Linked DNA regions of Cricetulus griseus. The protein of the gene in region 3 binds, or shares a complex with, the protein of the main gene of each other region. Links are inferred from orthologs where the notes say so. Each region holds a gene or a part of one and is shown on either strand. Other genes may lie near its edges.

What was found.
Region 1: Timm50 (region 3) and Timm17b share a complex: the UniProt entries of both Homo sapiens proteins name them as parts of the TIM23 complex. The link is inferred for Cricetulus griseus from reciprocal best matches to the Homo sapiens genes TIMM50 and TIMM17B.
Region 2: Timm50 (region 3) and Timm17a share a complex: the UniProt entries of both Homo sapiens proteins name them as parts of the TIM23 complex. The link is inferred for Cricetulus griseus from reciprocal best matches to the Homo sapiens genes TIMM50 and TIMM17A.

Annotation. Positions count from the first base shown.
Region 1 is NC_048604.1:114,362,577-114,367,439, reverse strand, and holds the start of Timm17b (mitochondrial import inner membrane translocase subunit Tim17-B), read right to left. Parts: upstream 3,343-4,863; 5' UTR 3,306-3,342; coding exon 3,280-3,305; intron 2,156-3,279; coding exon 2,075-2,155; intron 1,699-2,074; coding exon 1,599-1,698; intron 1-1,598. Other genes in the region: Pqbp1 (polyglutamine-binding protein 1), read left to right, coding at 4,092-4,158. UniProt on the Homo sapiens protein: Essential component of the TIM23 complex, a complex that mediates the translocation of transit peptide-containing proteins across the mitochondrial inner membrane.
Region 2 is NC_048598.1:53,936,833-53,941,619, reverse strand, and holds the start of Timm17a (mitochondrial import inner membrane translocase subunit Tim17-A), read right to left. Parts: upstream 2,999-4,787; 5' UTR 2,941-2,998; coding exon 2,915-2,940; intron 241-2,914; coding exon 141-240; intron 1-140. UniProt on the Homo sapiens protein: Essential component of the TIM23 complex, a complex that mediates the translocation of transit peptide-containing proteins across the mitochondrial inner membrane.
Region 3 is NC_048602.1:7,569,579-7,574,676, reverse strand, and holds the start of Timm50 (mitochondrial import inner membrane translocase subunit TIM50), read right to left. Parts: upstream 3,221-5,098; coding exon 2,867-3,220; intron 2,033-2,866; coding exon 1,882-2,032; intron 1,119-1,881; coding exon 1,087-1,118; intron 886-1,086; coding exon 864-885; intron 1-863. UniProt on the Homo sapiens protein: Essential component of the TIM23 complex, a complex that mediates the translocation of transit peptide-containing proteins across the mitochondrial inner membrane. Has some phosphatase activity in vitro; however such activity may not be relevant in vivo.

The DNA.
Region 1 (4,863 bases), on a different chromosome or scaffold from region 3:
ATTGCTTTTCTTCTTGAGACAGGGTCTTTAACAGAACCACAAGCTCCACTTCCAGCTAGGCTGACAGGCCAGCAAGCTCATGGGATACACCTGTCTTATGCCTCACCCCTTCTAATGCTGGGGTTATAGGCACAGGCAGCCATGCCTGACTTTTGACATAGGTGCTGGGGAATCAAACTCAGGTTCTCATGCTTACAAAGCCAAGTACTCTTAGCCACTGAGACTTATCTCCAGCCCTTCCCCATAATTGCTTTTTTTGTTTTTTCAAGACAGGGTTTCTCTATAGGTTTGGAGACTGTCTTGGAACTTTCTCTGAAGACCAGGCTGGCCTGGAACTCACAGAGATACACCAGCCTCTGCCTCCCAAGTGCTGGGATTAAAGGTGTGCACCACTATCACTCAGCTCATAATTGCTTTTACAACAGTGACATCTAATGAGATCTCCAAGGGTAGGGAGCTTCAGGGACAAGGTAGAATTATATTAAAAGGGCCCCCCAATTCAATTTAAAGGCTGTTCTCTCTGTCAAACTACTGTCATTTTTCTATATAGAGGATTTTAACCCAGAGTCTGTTTTGAGGTAAAATCATGCCAGGCAGTGGTGGCGAATGCCTAAAGTCCCAGCACTCAGGAGGCAGAGGCAGGAAGATCTCTGTGAGTCCCAGGCCAGGCTGGTCTTCAAAGAAAGTTCTGGGACAGTCTCCAAACCTACAGAGAAACCCTGTCTTGAAAAAACAAAAAAAGTGTCCTGTTTTGAGGTAAAATCTATGTTGCATACACATTTAAGATTTTATACTAGCCTTTTTCTTTTTATTCTGCTGCTAAGGAATGAACCAACTACTCTACCACTGAGTTATATACTTGCTTCGAACAATCTTTGTATACTATAAATGTTATTACTCTCATTGTTAATAAAAAGCTGATTGGACTATGGATGGGCAGGATTTTCAGGACGGAAAGAATGCTGGGAAGGAGGGTGGAGTGAGAGGAGTCACCAGCCAGTTGGAGAGGAAGCAGGACATGCAGGAGAGGTAAAAGCCATGAGCCACAGATTAATAGAAATGGGTTAATTTAAGTTGTAAGAGCTAGTTAGTAACACGCCTGAATTATTATTATTATTACTTTTATTGGTTTTTCGAGACAGGGTTTCTCTGTGTAGCTTTGGAGCCTATCCTGGCACTCGCTCTGAAGACCAGGCTGGCCTCGAACTCACAGAGATCTGCCTGCCTCTGCCTCCCGAGTGCTGGGATTAAAGGCATGCACCACCACCGCCTGGCTCACACCTGAATTATTGGCCAAGCATTTATAATTAACAATAAGTCTGAATGGTTAATTGGGAAGCAGCTGTCGAAACAGCTGATCAGAGTCCCTACAAAAACTCCACCTACATATGCTTCTAGCTCCTAAGACTGTTTCTGACAGTACAGCATTTCCATGGAGCTCCAGCTAGATAGTTGAAGAACAGAGGTACGCAAATCATAGGGCCAGGAGCCAATAGTAGGTGAATGTGTAGTAGTAGGTGAATGAATGTGTTTTCAGAACAGTATTCTATGTCAGTAAGACTGCAGACTCCCACACCACCAAGGAAGGCCCAACTCACAACGGGGGCATTACGAAAGCCCTTGATAGCCTGGAAGACTCCACCACCAATGACACCCATAGTGAAGGCTCCACCGCAATCATCCACAATTCGCCATGGGCTGCAAGCAGGAAGGAAAAGATAGAGTTACTGTGAGACTCTGCCCTGCCAAGCCTGGACTCTTTGGAACTTGGAGAACCAAAATAGGAAGGTCATGACTGATAAGAAACACCTCAGATAATAACAAATCAGTTCTTTTTTTGTTTGTTTTTTTGAGACAGGGTTTCTCTGTGTAGCTTTGAAGCCTATCCTGGCACTTGCTCTGTAGACCAGGTTGGCCTCAAACTCATAGAGATCTGCCTGCCTCTACCTCCTGAGTGCTGGGATTAAAGGCTGGCACCACCACCACCACCACCACCACCACCACCAGGCAGTTCTGTCAGTTTTTAATATGACCCATAAAGCCAGAAAGGAAAGCCAGGCATGGTTCTACATACCTGTAAGCACAATGCTTGGGAAGATGAGGCAGGAGGATCACAAGTTGGAGTCCAACCTGGGCTATGAATGGAGACCCTGTCCTAAAAAGAAAGTTTGTGCAGCCAGGCAGTGGTAGTGCACACCTTTAGTCCCAGTACTAGCATGGCAGAGGCAGGCAGATCTGAGTTCCAGGCCAGCCTGGTCTACAAAGAGAGTTCTAGGACAGCCAGGGATAGACAGAGAAACCCAGTCTTGAAAAACCAAAACCAAAAAGAGAAAAAGGTTTTCTGCTCTGAGCGTGGTGGCACATGCCTTTAATCCCAGCACTTGGGATGCAGAGGCAGGTTGATCTGTGTGTTTAAGGTCAGCCTAGTCAGAGTTCCAGGCCAGCCAGGGCTACACAGTGAGATCTTGGCTCAAAACAAACAAAACCAAAAACGTTTGTAAATCTGTCTATGGCGCAAAAGTGGGAAAACATTTTTTTTCTTTTTCTTTTTGAGAGTGAGGGAGGTGCCTCACTACATAGCCTTCCAAATGCTGGGCTTATTACTGGAAGAATATTGCTCTCGATTACAACTGAGCATCAATCCAACTGTTTTGTTGCTGTCAAAAATCAAATGGATTGATATGTACAAAGAGTTGGCAGGTTTCAACAGTGGTAACTACCTAATGTTATTTAAGTAAAGCAGAACAGGGTGGCACTCTGTTCCCCGAAGGGGTGGGGGGGGGAGAAGCACGTCCAAGGAAGCCCCTGTACAGTGTCATTTTAAAATTTAAAACGGAAAAATCAAAAGCCATGAGGAAGCTCCAGGCCCCACCCCTTAACCCACAGTGGATTCATGAACATGCCCTAACCGGAGTCAAAAACCAGTCTGGGAAAGGCCACGAGAGGAAACTGTGGGTTTTGGCTCCACGCCTCTCCTCCCCCTCTGCCGGAATGGATTTGCCCAGCGTCTCTCTTTTGGCTCACAAAAAGTCTCTAGGAGAACAGTCAGGGGAAGAGTGAGGTGGTTTGTCCCACACCGCACCAACAGGGACACTCCACTGTGGCGGTTTTTAGCGAAGTCCGAGTGGGAGGAGCCAGGCCGGACGCGCCGAGGCAGTAAAGTTTCTAAGCCTCCCGAGTCAGGGACTTGACAGTGTAGCCGTTGCCTTCCCCGCCCGCCTCCCGTCGTTGGCCTGGGCTTCGCAGGGACTGTCCCGAAGCCTGTGCCCATCGCCGTACCAAGGTTCGCGAGCGTACTCCTCCATGGCGCCAGCGTCTGGCCTGGAGCAGACAGTCGCACAGACGAGCCACTCCCCCCCAGAAACGCCCACAAGAGCGGAGGCGTCTTACGTAGGCCAAGGAAACTATTGGTTTTCTTTGCTTACGTAAGATCAAAGGCGCACTCTTATTGGCTAGCCAGGCTGGCCACATCCGTTCACTGCAAGCCCTGGAGTCGACCAGTTAACTACACCTGGGGAGAGTGGGGAGCGTTTTGTGCTTTAAAAGAAGAGCCCTTCGATATTGGTAAGCATAGTGACAAAGAGGGGGAGGAGGACAGGGTGACAGACTTTGATTATCCGCATAGCTGCACTGCTAACGCCGAGGTGGAAGCTTTCTTTTAAAGCTGAAGATGGTGTTGGCATTTTTGCACCCCCATCCCAGCGCCTTGGTTCCTCCCACAGTGCTGACTTAGAGGGACGTTGGGTGATCCCATTTCTGGGTTGCGGGTGAGCTCCGCTTGGTCCCTCTGGCGATGGGTGGAGCCTTGGCCTGAAGAGGAACTGGGTCTTCGGTGCATCCGGTCCCCAGTGCCCCGGTCAGTAGAGTTCTGGTGGTACTAGTCCTCACCGTATTGCCACGTACTTCTTTCATCTTTTAGCACGCATTTTTTGTGCTGTCTTTCCAGCTGCTGGCGCAGTTAGGTAGGTGGGGGGTCAAATGAGCACATGCTGTAGTGTGACGCATGGTTACTGGATATCCTGATTGAAATGTTTATCGGATTTGCCCTTCACTGCCTTCTGTCGGTTCCTAGGTCTGGTCAGCAACCCGCAATGCCGCTCCCTGTTGCACTGCAGACCCGCTTGGCGAAGAGGGGCATCCTCAAACATCTGGAGCCCGGTGAGAAAGCTAATAGCATCTAATACCGTGTGTCAGTGTTAACAGATGTCTGTTATTCTGTTCTCTAGCTCCCCCACCTCTGCCCCTCGCCCTGTCGAACCCAAGGTGCATGCCGAGCAGGCGCTCTACCATCATCCTCAGCCCCAAAGCGCACACCCTTCCCCCCGCCCTTTGCGTTGCTGGGTTCAAATCCAAACTCTTGGATGTGCTGTACTATTGAGGTATATCTCCTTGATAGGCTTTATTGTTGATACTTGATACCTTGCATGGCCTGGAAGGCATCTCAATGTCACTTTACTGATACCCATTACTACTGCTTGGTAAGTACTGTGTGATGTGTAAGGCTGGTGAATAGAGTTTAATTTAACTCATGAATCAAGTGGACACGGTGACAAGTACCAATAGGATCACCTACTTAGGAGGACAATATACGAAGATGACTTGAGCCCAGGAGATCAAGGCCAGCCATGGCAACTTGCCCAAAACCCAGTCTTCAAAATAAAATAAAATAAAGCTAGCCAGGCATTGGTGGTGGACGCCTTTAATCCCAGCACTCCAGAGGTGGAGGCAGGCAGATCTCTTTCGGTTCAAGGCCAGCCTGGTTTACAGCATGAGTTCCAGGACAAGCTCCAAAGCCACAGAGAAACCCTGTCTCCAAAAAACAAAACCACACACACACACACACACACACACACACAGAGAGAG
Region 2 (4,787 bases), on a different chromosome or scaffold from region 3:
AATAATAATAATAATAATAATAATAATAATAGATTAAAACAGAACAAACGATTATAAGTGTAATATATTTCTAACCCACCGATGGGACCAACCAGCCCTGGTTTCTAGTGAAGATAAAATGAAACCAATCATTCACTCACCACTGGAGAATTTCGAAAACCTTTGAAGGCTTGAAAGATACCGCCACCTATGGTACCCATGGTAAAGGCACCACCACAGTCATCCACAATCCGCCAGGGGCTAAAAATGGGAGGAAGGGGAGAAAGAGGATCTTATTTCTCATTCATAAACCATATAAACCATAAAATTTTCTTTGCTTTATAAAAGAAGGAATGCAACAGGTTCCAGTGTGGAGTCTACTGCAACCAATAAACTTTTAGGTTGTAAAATAAGGGCAAAGACACTAAACATATCCATAGCTATTCAGTCTCAAGTCCTCAAAGGCAGAAGGATTTAACAATCTCATCTTTTAGCCGGGCGTTAGTGGCGCACGCCTTTAATCCCAGCACTCGGGAGGCAGAGGCAGGTGGATCTCTGTGAGTTCCAGGCCAGCCGGGTCTACAGAGTGACTGCCAGGATAGGCTCCAAAGATACACAGAGAAACCCTGCCTCAAAAAACAGAAAACAAACAAACAAAAAGGTCTGAAGTCTTTTCAGGATAACTAAGTTCAAAACAGCATTTTAAACTTTATAGCACACTAGACTAATACCTAATAATGTTGCACCCTAACTCACACAACACTGAAATATAAGTAATTTGATCAAGAGATCAAAACTCCTACTCTAGGAATCTGGCTAATAAAGGTCTTTATAGAACCTAGGACCTGACACACAACATCTCCAGCCTTGTTAAGTCAATTGTATTACCGTAAAGATTTATGTAAGTTTTTCTTGGTATATCGCACAAAGCCTATTTATACACAGCACACATATACATATACACAGACACACAGACACAGATACAAGACACCCCCCCACACACACACAGACACACCCCCCACACACACACAGCCACACACACAGTACAGGGTAAATTCTGTTTCAGCCAACTCTTAGTAGAGTTGTAATTAATTCTTCCACCACCATCTTCCAAATAAAAAAGCTGCTACTTCACTTTTAGCACACATCATCTACCATGTTTCAAATCTAAATGAATTCTGTGAAGCACTAAGAGTATTGTTTCTATAGTGTTCATATGCTCATTGGGCAAGCACATAGAGGCTTACTCAGGCTTATAAATAATGTCACAACAAAATCTAAAGTTAGCAAAGTCAAAGAAATTTCTCAGTATATCTGACAGCCTCAAGAGATAAGCACAGAACCAGGAGTGGTGGCACATTCTGACAATCCCAGCACGTGGGAGGAAGAGGTAGGAGGCTAAAGAGTCAAAGGCCAGCCTATGTTACACAACAAAACCCCATCTTAACCCCAAACCTATGGTCCCTCCCTACAAAAAGACAAGCACTATAGTGAGCTAGCCCATGGACAATCACTACAAGAACAAGAACACTTTTAAACTTACCATTATTGCCCACGAGAATCTGAATAATGACTCATTTTCCTTTAGAATTCACAATCTTTTAACTCGACAAAAAAGATTATGACTATCTCCTCTGAATTTTACAGTGAACAAAGGCTCAGACAGACATTAAGTAGCCTGCCCCAAAACAAATAAGGAACTAGTACAGCCAACTAAAAGCAAACTTTGGTAAACTCTTTCCACTGTATTTATGTGGTCTAAAGGATTCTGAGAGAACAAGTCATACAAAGAAGTATTAAGACAATGATTAAACCCATATACTGTTTTAGACAGTGCTGTTAACCCTCTCTAGAGGAAGAGTGAAGACACACGGCAGAAGCCGATCTTTGAGGGTGACAGCACAGACTGCCACTAAATAATAAAGTCCTGGGCAGATGCACAATCGGAGGATACCAATTTTTTTTGTTGTTGTTTTTCGAGACAGGGTTTCTCTGTGTAGCTTTGGAGCCTGTCCTGGCACTCGCTCTGAAGACCAGGCTGGCCTCGAACTCACAGAGATCCGCCTGCCTCCCGAGTGCTGGGATTAAAGGCGTGCACCACCAACGCCCGGCTTGATTCTTTCTCATTATAAATAAAAACAAAACAAAATCTGAACAAAACCAAACATCAAGGTTTCCTTATTTGCTTGTGACCCTTGAGGCTTTACCTTGACAACTTGAGATTCAATAGCTATTTCACCAATTTACAGCTATTTTGCTTTGCCTGATTTACTCATGTTTGGACACTGAGCCAAGCACAGAGCCCTCACTTAATAAACGCTTACTGAATGAATTTATTTCTGTGTATGACTTTTCTGGGAACACATGCAGCTCATCTTTTACTATTTTCCAGATGGTCACTTATGTCCCTTTTTCTTCAGGAATTCCACGCAGGAAATGCCGCTCCAGCCTACAAGGAGCTTATCCAGACCCCTTGGACACTGGTTGAAATATATGGCCTACTGTTTTGAAATGCTTCTTCATGGGGGCCTTATTACCATACAAATAAGGCCTCGAGTATGTCACTAAGAGATCTACATTCCCTTCGTGGACGTGGAAACTTGAGCAAAGCAAGGCCTAGGGACATGTCCAAGGTCACCTCAGCGGGCAAAGAGGATCACTATTACCCCCGCACCAGATCGATAGCACCCGCCATAGGGAGGAGGTTCCAAAGCTCCACGAAGCCCAGCACTGGACCTCCTCGCTAGGCACAAGGTCACCGGGGTGCTGGGTCCGGGCACACAGCGCGGAAAAGCCACCGGGTCACTCTCGCCCGCACCACCCACAGCTGCCCAGCTCCCGGCGCCGAGCCGCGAGGAGCTCTGCTTGCACCTGGGACTCCGACCGCGGCAGGCGGAGGGGGGTAAGGGGCAACAAGGGAGGCTGCGGCACTCACCACGGCTCTCTCGCGTACTCCTCCATCTTGGTTCCAGCCCGCGCGAAGGTCCCGGGCACGCCGGACTTCCGGAAACTGAAGTGACGGAAGTGATCCCAGGAGAGGGCGGGTTACTGGGTTACTGGGCGGGGATTGGGGGCATCGTTTCTTGCCGCAGCCAATAGCAGTTAAAACTCCGTGTAGACGCCTGGCGTATACTACCTGCTACCCCGCCAGCTCCTCAAAGTTTGCGAGGATTCCGGGTACAGAGCACCCAAACTTGTTAAATAGTGTACTGTTTGTTTTTTTGAGTCAGGATTTCTCTGTATAGTCCTGGATGTTCAAGAATAAACTATGTAGACCAGACTGGCCTCGAACTCACAAAGAGCCGCCTGACTCTGCCTCTTGAGTGTGATTGAAGGCATGCACCACCAAAAGTATTTTTGCTGAAAACTATTATTAATAATGCTACTTAATTTGCCGTGAACGGTGGATTTTTTTTAAAGATTTTATTTATTTATTATGTAGACAACATTCTGCTTCCGTGTATATCTGCACACCAGAAGAGGGCACCAGATCTCATAAGGGATGGTTGTGAGCCACCATGTGGTTGCTGGGAATTGAACTCAGGACCTCTGGAAGAGCAGTCGGTGCTCTTAACCTCTGAGCCATCTCTCTAGTCCGAACGGTGGATTTTTAGCAAATGCTCTTCACCAAACATCCCACTGCTCCCATCTCCTCCCATCTTACAGTACCACTACTGTCTGGTCTCTATGGCTGTGGCTAGCTTTGTGCTCTGATCTTCAGGCAAGTTTTATTTGTTAGATCACAAACAAAAATATCACCACAGGGGTCTGATTTCCAGCACCCACATGGCAACTCACAATTGTCTGTAACTCCATTTCCAGAGGACCTAGCACCCTCTTCTGGCCTCTGCAAGCACTAGGACCACTTGTGTTACACAGACATAATGCAGCCAAAATACCCATTTTTTGTTTGTTTGTTTGTTTGTTTTTGTTTTAGTATAGTTGTTTATGGGAAAGTCAATATAATTAACAGACTACAATGACAAACTTTTGTAAATAATCGTCAACCCTCCACAGAGCAACAGAATAGCAATAAAATGTCTCTAAAATAGTTGTCAGAAGCTGGATGTGGTGGTTGCCTGTAATCTCAGCACATAAGAGATGGGAGACAAGAGGATCACAAGTTCAAGCTCATCCCCACTTAAAAAGCAAGTTTAAGACCCTCTCTCAAAACAAAACACAGTCTGGCTAAATTGCTTAGTGAGTAAAAGTGCTTGCAGCTGCGCTGCTGACTTGAGTTCAGTCCTCAGAACTCACAGACTGGAAGGAGGGAACCCGCTCCTATGTCTTGTGACTGCCGTGTTGCCATGGTACTCAAGCACACACACACAAAATGTAAAGACTTAAATGAAATCTGAGACTTAGGATATTTTAATATATGTGTATAGCATAGAAAAACCAAATAAGACTAGAGAGATGGCTCAGGATTGCTTCAAAATTTTGAGGACCCAACCGAAGTTTGGGTCCCAGCACCCATGAAACAAGCCTAGCATCTGCAAATGCCTGTAACTTCAGCTTCAAAGGATTCAACACCCTCTTCTGACTGTCACATGCCTGCCGGTGTGTACAGCCCTACAAACACTTGTGCATACACTCACAAACACATATACACATAAAGTTGTTTTTGTTTTGTTTTGTTTCTCTGTGTAGACTTGGCTGTCCTGGAACTCACTCTGTAGACCAGGCTGGCCTCAAACTCAGAGATTCGCCTATCTCTGCCTCCTAAGTGTTAGGATTAAAGGCGTGTGCCACCACCCAGCCTGACAACTTTCTTTTGCTTCCTACAGGAGTTGTGTGTGTTTGCCAAG
Region 3 (5,098 bases):
GTCTACCTTCCCAATTTAAGTAATTTGCTTAAACCAGTGAGGAGCAGGGGATGGTGGCACACACCTTTAATCCCAGCACTTAGGAGCCAGAGACAAGTGGATCTCTGTGAGTTTGAGGCTAGCCTAGTCTACAGAGCGAGTGCCACAACAGCCAGGAATACATAATTAAGAAATCAAAAAATAAATAAGAACAAATAAACAACAGAAGCAACAACAACAACAACAAAAACCCAAGATAAGAAACCAAACAAACAAAAACCCAGGAGACCTGAAATCTGTGCACTTAGAAAAGCAGACTCAGTCTCCTGCCTGGCGACCAGTGACACAGTCAGTGCTTGTACTCACTGTTTACACATCTCACCCAGGGGGCTCTGTGGACCCAATAACTTCACTTTCTGTCAGGAAGGGTCAGCTAAAATTCACAGCTACTCTACTACCTAGTTTATCAGAAGTCCTCACCAAACTCTGCTGAACCTGGGGTATGTTTGGAGAAGGGGCAGGGCACAGACACTGAGAGGCATTGTTTTAGAAATGAGGCATGGGGTGGGATAGGGACTTAAGGATTTTTAAACAAACAAAAAAGAGGCTGTCATAAACACTCAGGGGCCACAGATGCCCAGATCTAAGGCCCGGGAAGCCGGTATCTGGGAGGGACTGCTGCGGCCCCCTGCCCCCATCTGTTCCTGACCATCTGCTCCAGGCTGAGGGGCTTTTGTTATGTCCCGCCCCCCCAAGCATCTAATTGTTGAACCTCCATGGAGGAGGAGGGGCTGGGGTACAGGACAGAGGAACTGGCACTCCAAACAAAACAAAATAGCAGAGATGGGGACACCAGGGACTCCCAAATCTGTTAAATCACTCACCATTGTCGAATTCATCAGGGATCTGAGAGAGAAAAGCAAAGGTTTGGGTTGGCAGAGGGGTCCCAGGACATCCACTCAAGGAGCTCCAGGCTCAGTAGGCAAAGGTCCCGGGGAGGGAGGGAGGGAGGGAGGGAGGGGCGGAGGGGCTCATTTCAGACTAGAAAGGAGCCTGAACCAACCAAAAGCAACCCACCCTAGCACCTCTGGGTCTAACGCCCCTCACCTTGGTGCCATTTTCATCCACCGAGTTGTTTCCTGCAAGGGAGACAGAGACGGATGAGAGAAACTTGGAGTCTAATCTGCTGGGTCTGGAAGGGTTAGGAAGTGAGGGGTTTGGACAACCCCGTCAGAGGGGATGTTGCTAGAGGCACAGCTCCTGGATTAAGGGAGGAAGAGAATGGGGGGAGAAGGGGCAGGATTCCAATATATTTAAGAGAAGGTGGGCTAGCCAGGCATGGTGATGAATGCCTTTAATCCTAGCACTCAGGAGGCAGAGCAGGTAGATCTCTGTGACCTGGTCTACAAACTGAGTTCCCAGGACAGCCAGGGCTGTTACACAGAGAAATTTACACAGAGAAATCCTGTCTGAAAAAAGAGAGAGAGAGAGAGAGAGAGAGAGAGAGAGAGAGAGAGGAAAGAGAGGGGGAGAGAGAGAGAGAGAGAGAGAGAGAGAGAGAGAGAGAGAGAGAGAAAGTGGTCCGAGTCTGAGATTACACACAAGGGGAAGGTTAGGCTTTTGCTGCTGAAGGGAGACACAAGACATAGCTTCAGACACTGGGCCAGCCCTATTCTTCCCATTGTCCCCTTAGTTCCTGACTTCAGGAGGGACAGGGACCAACTAGAGGCTAGAACTTTAATTAAGTACAAGGGGTAGAAGGGGACTTGTTGAGTTTCAAGGTGAGTATCCCCGTTGAAGGCCCTATTGAGGGAGGAGCCAGGGAATGAACAGTTTGAGGAAAGAAGGGGAGGTTTCCCAGTAGAAATCTGGGGGCCAGCAAGCCAGGGGTATGTCTCTCACCAAAGATATAGACGATGCTGACAGTCCCACTGGCCCCAAGCAAACCAGCAAGCCAGAGTGCAACTTTTTTGGCATAGCTGGGACCTTCTGAGCCTGGCTGATGCTGCGGCCCCTGGGCCTTGGAGCCTCCACGACTGGCGATCTCAGCAACCTGAGCGGAGGGGAGGAGGCGAGGTCAGCTAAGAGGAAAACAGCAGGAGGCTCTCTCTGACCTCTAACTCGGTCCAAGTAGAGTCAAGATCGAGGGACGTGGACATACACAGAGCCCCAGAAAAACGTGTCCCTGGAAGGGCTGAGTGGAAAAGTTGGTCCCCGCAGAGGGGCAAAACTATAAAACTGTGTCCGGAGGATCACAGGGGTTCGAGGGCTGACAGGCGGGGCTGCCCGGGATCCTGAAAGCAACAGGACTGCAGCAGGGTCTGGAGCCAGGGCGAGCAGGGCAGGGAGAGTCAGGGCTGGCGGGGAGAGCAAAACCAGGGAGCCGGAGGGCACCCAAGGGACGGGAGGAGCGGTTAAGACACCCGGACATCCCGGGCCGCAGAGGGAGGGGTGGGAAACCCAAGAGATCGGGGCGAGGCGAGGCGATCTCTCTCGCCTGGAGCTCAGGACGGCTGTCTCCGGCCAGCCTTCCCGGCTCGCCGCCCCCGAGGCGGACGCCGCCCGTCCCGCCCTCCCCCGGCCGGCCTGGGACCCCGGCGTCCCGGGCGGGCCGCTCCCGCGCCGGCATCAGGCGAGGGTGACCTCCCGGCAGCCACGAGGCTGGGACGCGGGCTCCGGAGGATGCACCGGGGGGCCCGCCGCGCCCCAGCCCGGCGGGCGGGCGGGCGAGCGGGCGGCAGGCGTGGTGCTCCCGGGAGGCTCGGGGGCGCCGGGAAAGCGGGCTCGGGGACGGTGAGCGCCCGGGACGCGGAGTTCCGGACGGCCCGAGCCTGACGGGGGGGGGGGGGAAGCCCCGGGTCGGGCGGGGTCCCCGGGGCCGACTCACCTGCTCTGGGGCGCGGGGAGGAGGCGGCGGCGCTAGCCGCGTGCACAGTCCCCGCGCGCCGACCCGGAGCCCGCTCCGCAAGCGCGAGAGCAGCGCCGCCGACGCCGCCGACGCCGCCATCTTGCGCTGACGCCGCGCGGCCCCGCCCACTCGCCGGCTCGCTCCCGCCCCCCGGGCGGGGACCGCGGCCAATGGGGAGGCTGAGGTGCGGCGTGTGGACGGGAAGGCGAGCGGGACAAAAAGGTGTGGGCGGAGTCCCCCTCCCCGGCTGCGCTCTCCGCGGACCGCTAGTCCGGGGCTGTCAGTGCCCTCGCCCCCGCGCCCGCGGAGCACGCTGAACTGGAATGGGGCCATCTGTCACCACGCCCCCCTGGTGCCTGCCCTAAGGACCTCCGCCGCCGCCCAGTCGCTGGGACATAGGCGTGAGAGATGGACAGATGCTCAAAAAGCGAGCTCAACCGGCAGCCCTCGCTTTTTTTTTTTTTTTTTTTCTTTTTTCCCCCCACGCTGAAGCGGTCTTCTCTCGCGTCTCCAGATCACTTTTTAACCCCTTCTACCATGTGTTTCTCGAAAGGGCTGGAGATCGTATCACTCACTTGGCTTCCTTCACTCACCCATAGGAACAGTGCGTGCTGACTGAAGACTGAATAAGAAATCAGTGAATCTGGGGTACAGGAAGACACCAGGAATGTCCCCCAAGTTGTTTTTAATGGTGGAAAAGCCAGGTTTTTACATTGAAACTTTTTTTTTTAAGATTTATTTATTTATTTATCATGTATACAGTGCGTGCCAGAAGAGGGCACCAGATCTCATAACGGATGGTTGTGAGCCACCATGTGGTTGCTGGGAATTGAACTCAGGACCTCTGGAAGAGCAGGCAGTGCCCTTAACCGCTGAGCCATCTCTCCAGCCCCTACATTTAATCTTTTTTAAAAAAAAGTACTAAGATAGTAAAAAAATACAAAGTTGGGTAAAGGAATTCAGAGAAATGGTTATTTCTGGGGTGGAAAGAAATGGATTGGGGCCGGGCACTGGTGGCGCACGCCTTTAATCCCAGCACTCGGGAGGCAGAGGCAGGCGGATCTCTGTGAGTTCGAGGCCAGCCTGGTCTCCAGAGCCAGTGCCAAGATAGGCTCCAAAGCTACAGAGAGAAACCCTGTCTCAAAAACAAAACAAAAAAAGAAGAAAGAGATTGGGGTTCTGTTAAGTTACATGTGTGTTTGAGTGTGTGCGCCCTTGTGCCACAGGGTGTGGAGGACGGCTCTCTCCTTCCACCCTGGGGGTCCGGAAATCAAACCTGGCTCATTTGAACCAAGGCTGTCTCCCTTATGGTTGACTTGGAGGACATGTTTCCAAAGTCAGTGGTTAGGACACTTCCTTGACACGGTGAGTTCCTGTTGGCCTTACATACTGTAAGTGGGTACAGGGGACATAGGACTTCATGTTATGTCTGAATTTTTAAAATTAGTTTTATTTCGAGACAGGGTCTATGTAGACCAGGCTGGCTAGAACTCATAGAGATCCACCTGCCCCTAACTCCCCTAGTGCTGGGATTAAAGGAGTCCAAGTGCCTTCACCCACAGACCAATCTCACCAGCTTTTGGTTTTTTGTTTTTTTTTTGAGACAGGGTCTCATGTAGCTGAGGCTGACCTATGCACCCGAGGAAGACTGATCCTCCTGCCCTGTCCCAAGTGCTGTGATTTGAGTCATATGCCTACCCTTTGTGAAGACTTGGGCCTATCAAATATGGAAAAGACCAAGGTACAAAGCCTAATTCTGTTAGGGCGCTCATTCCTGCGCCTGAGTTATCAGACTTGCTGAAACAATCCTGGGTTCACTGCTGTCAGCGTTCAAGATAAGACTGCAGGGCTGGAGACAGCCCAGTGGTAGAGTGCTGGCTTAGAATCCACCACTGAGGGGGCTGGGAACATGACTGCAGGAGCACAGGAGATCCCTGGGGAACACTGAGTTGATCTTCACTTAGCCCCAAGAATGTAACTTATCAGTCACATGGCAAGCTGTCTTAATGAAATCATAAAACTCTAGACAGTTTAAATTGCCTATCCAGTATAAGTTAATATTGTTTCAGCTTTTCCATTCTTCTGGCTGGCCTTCAATGGCTTCTGCTACTTGAGGACTCTCCATTGGGTACAAATTCCCTCTGACTCCACCTAGTTTGACTGGTGGAGTACTTCCTGGGGATGAGTCTCAGGTCTGGCACGCCCTGTCTT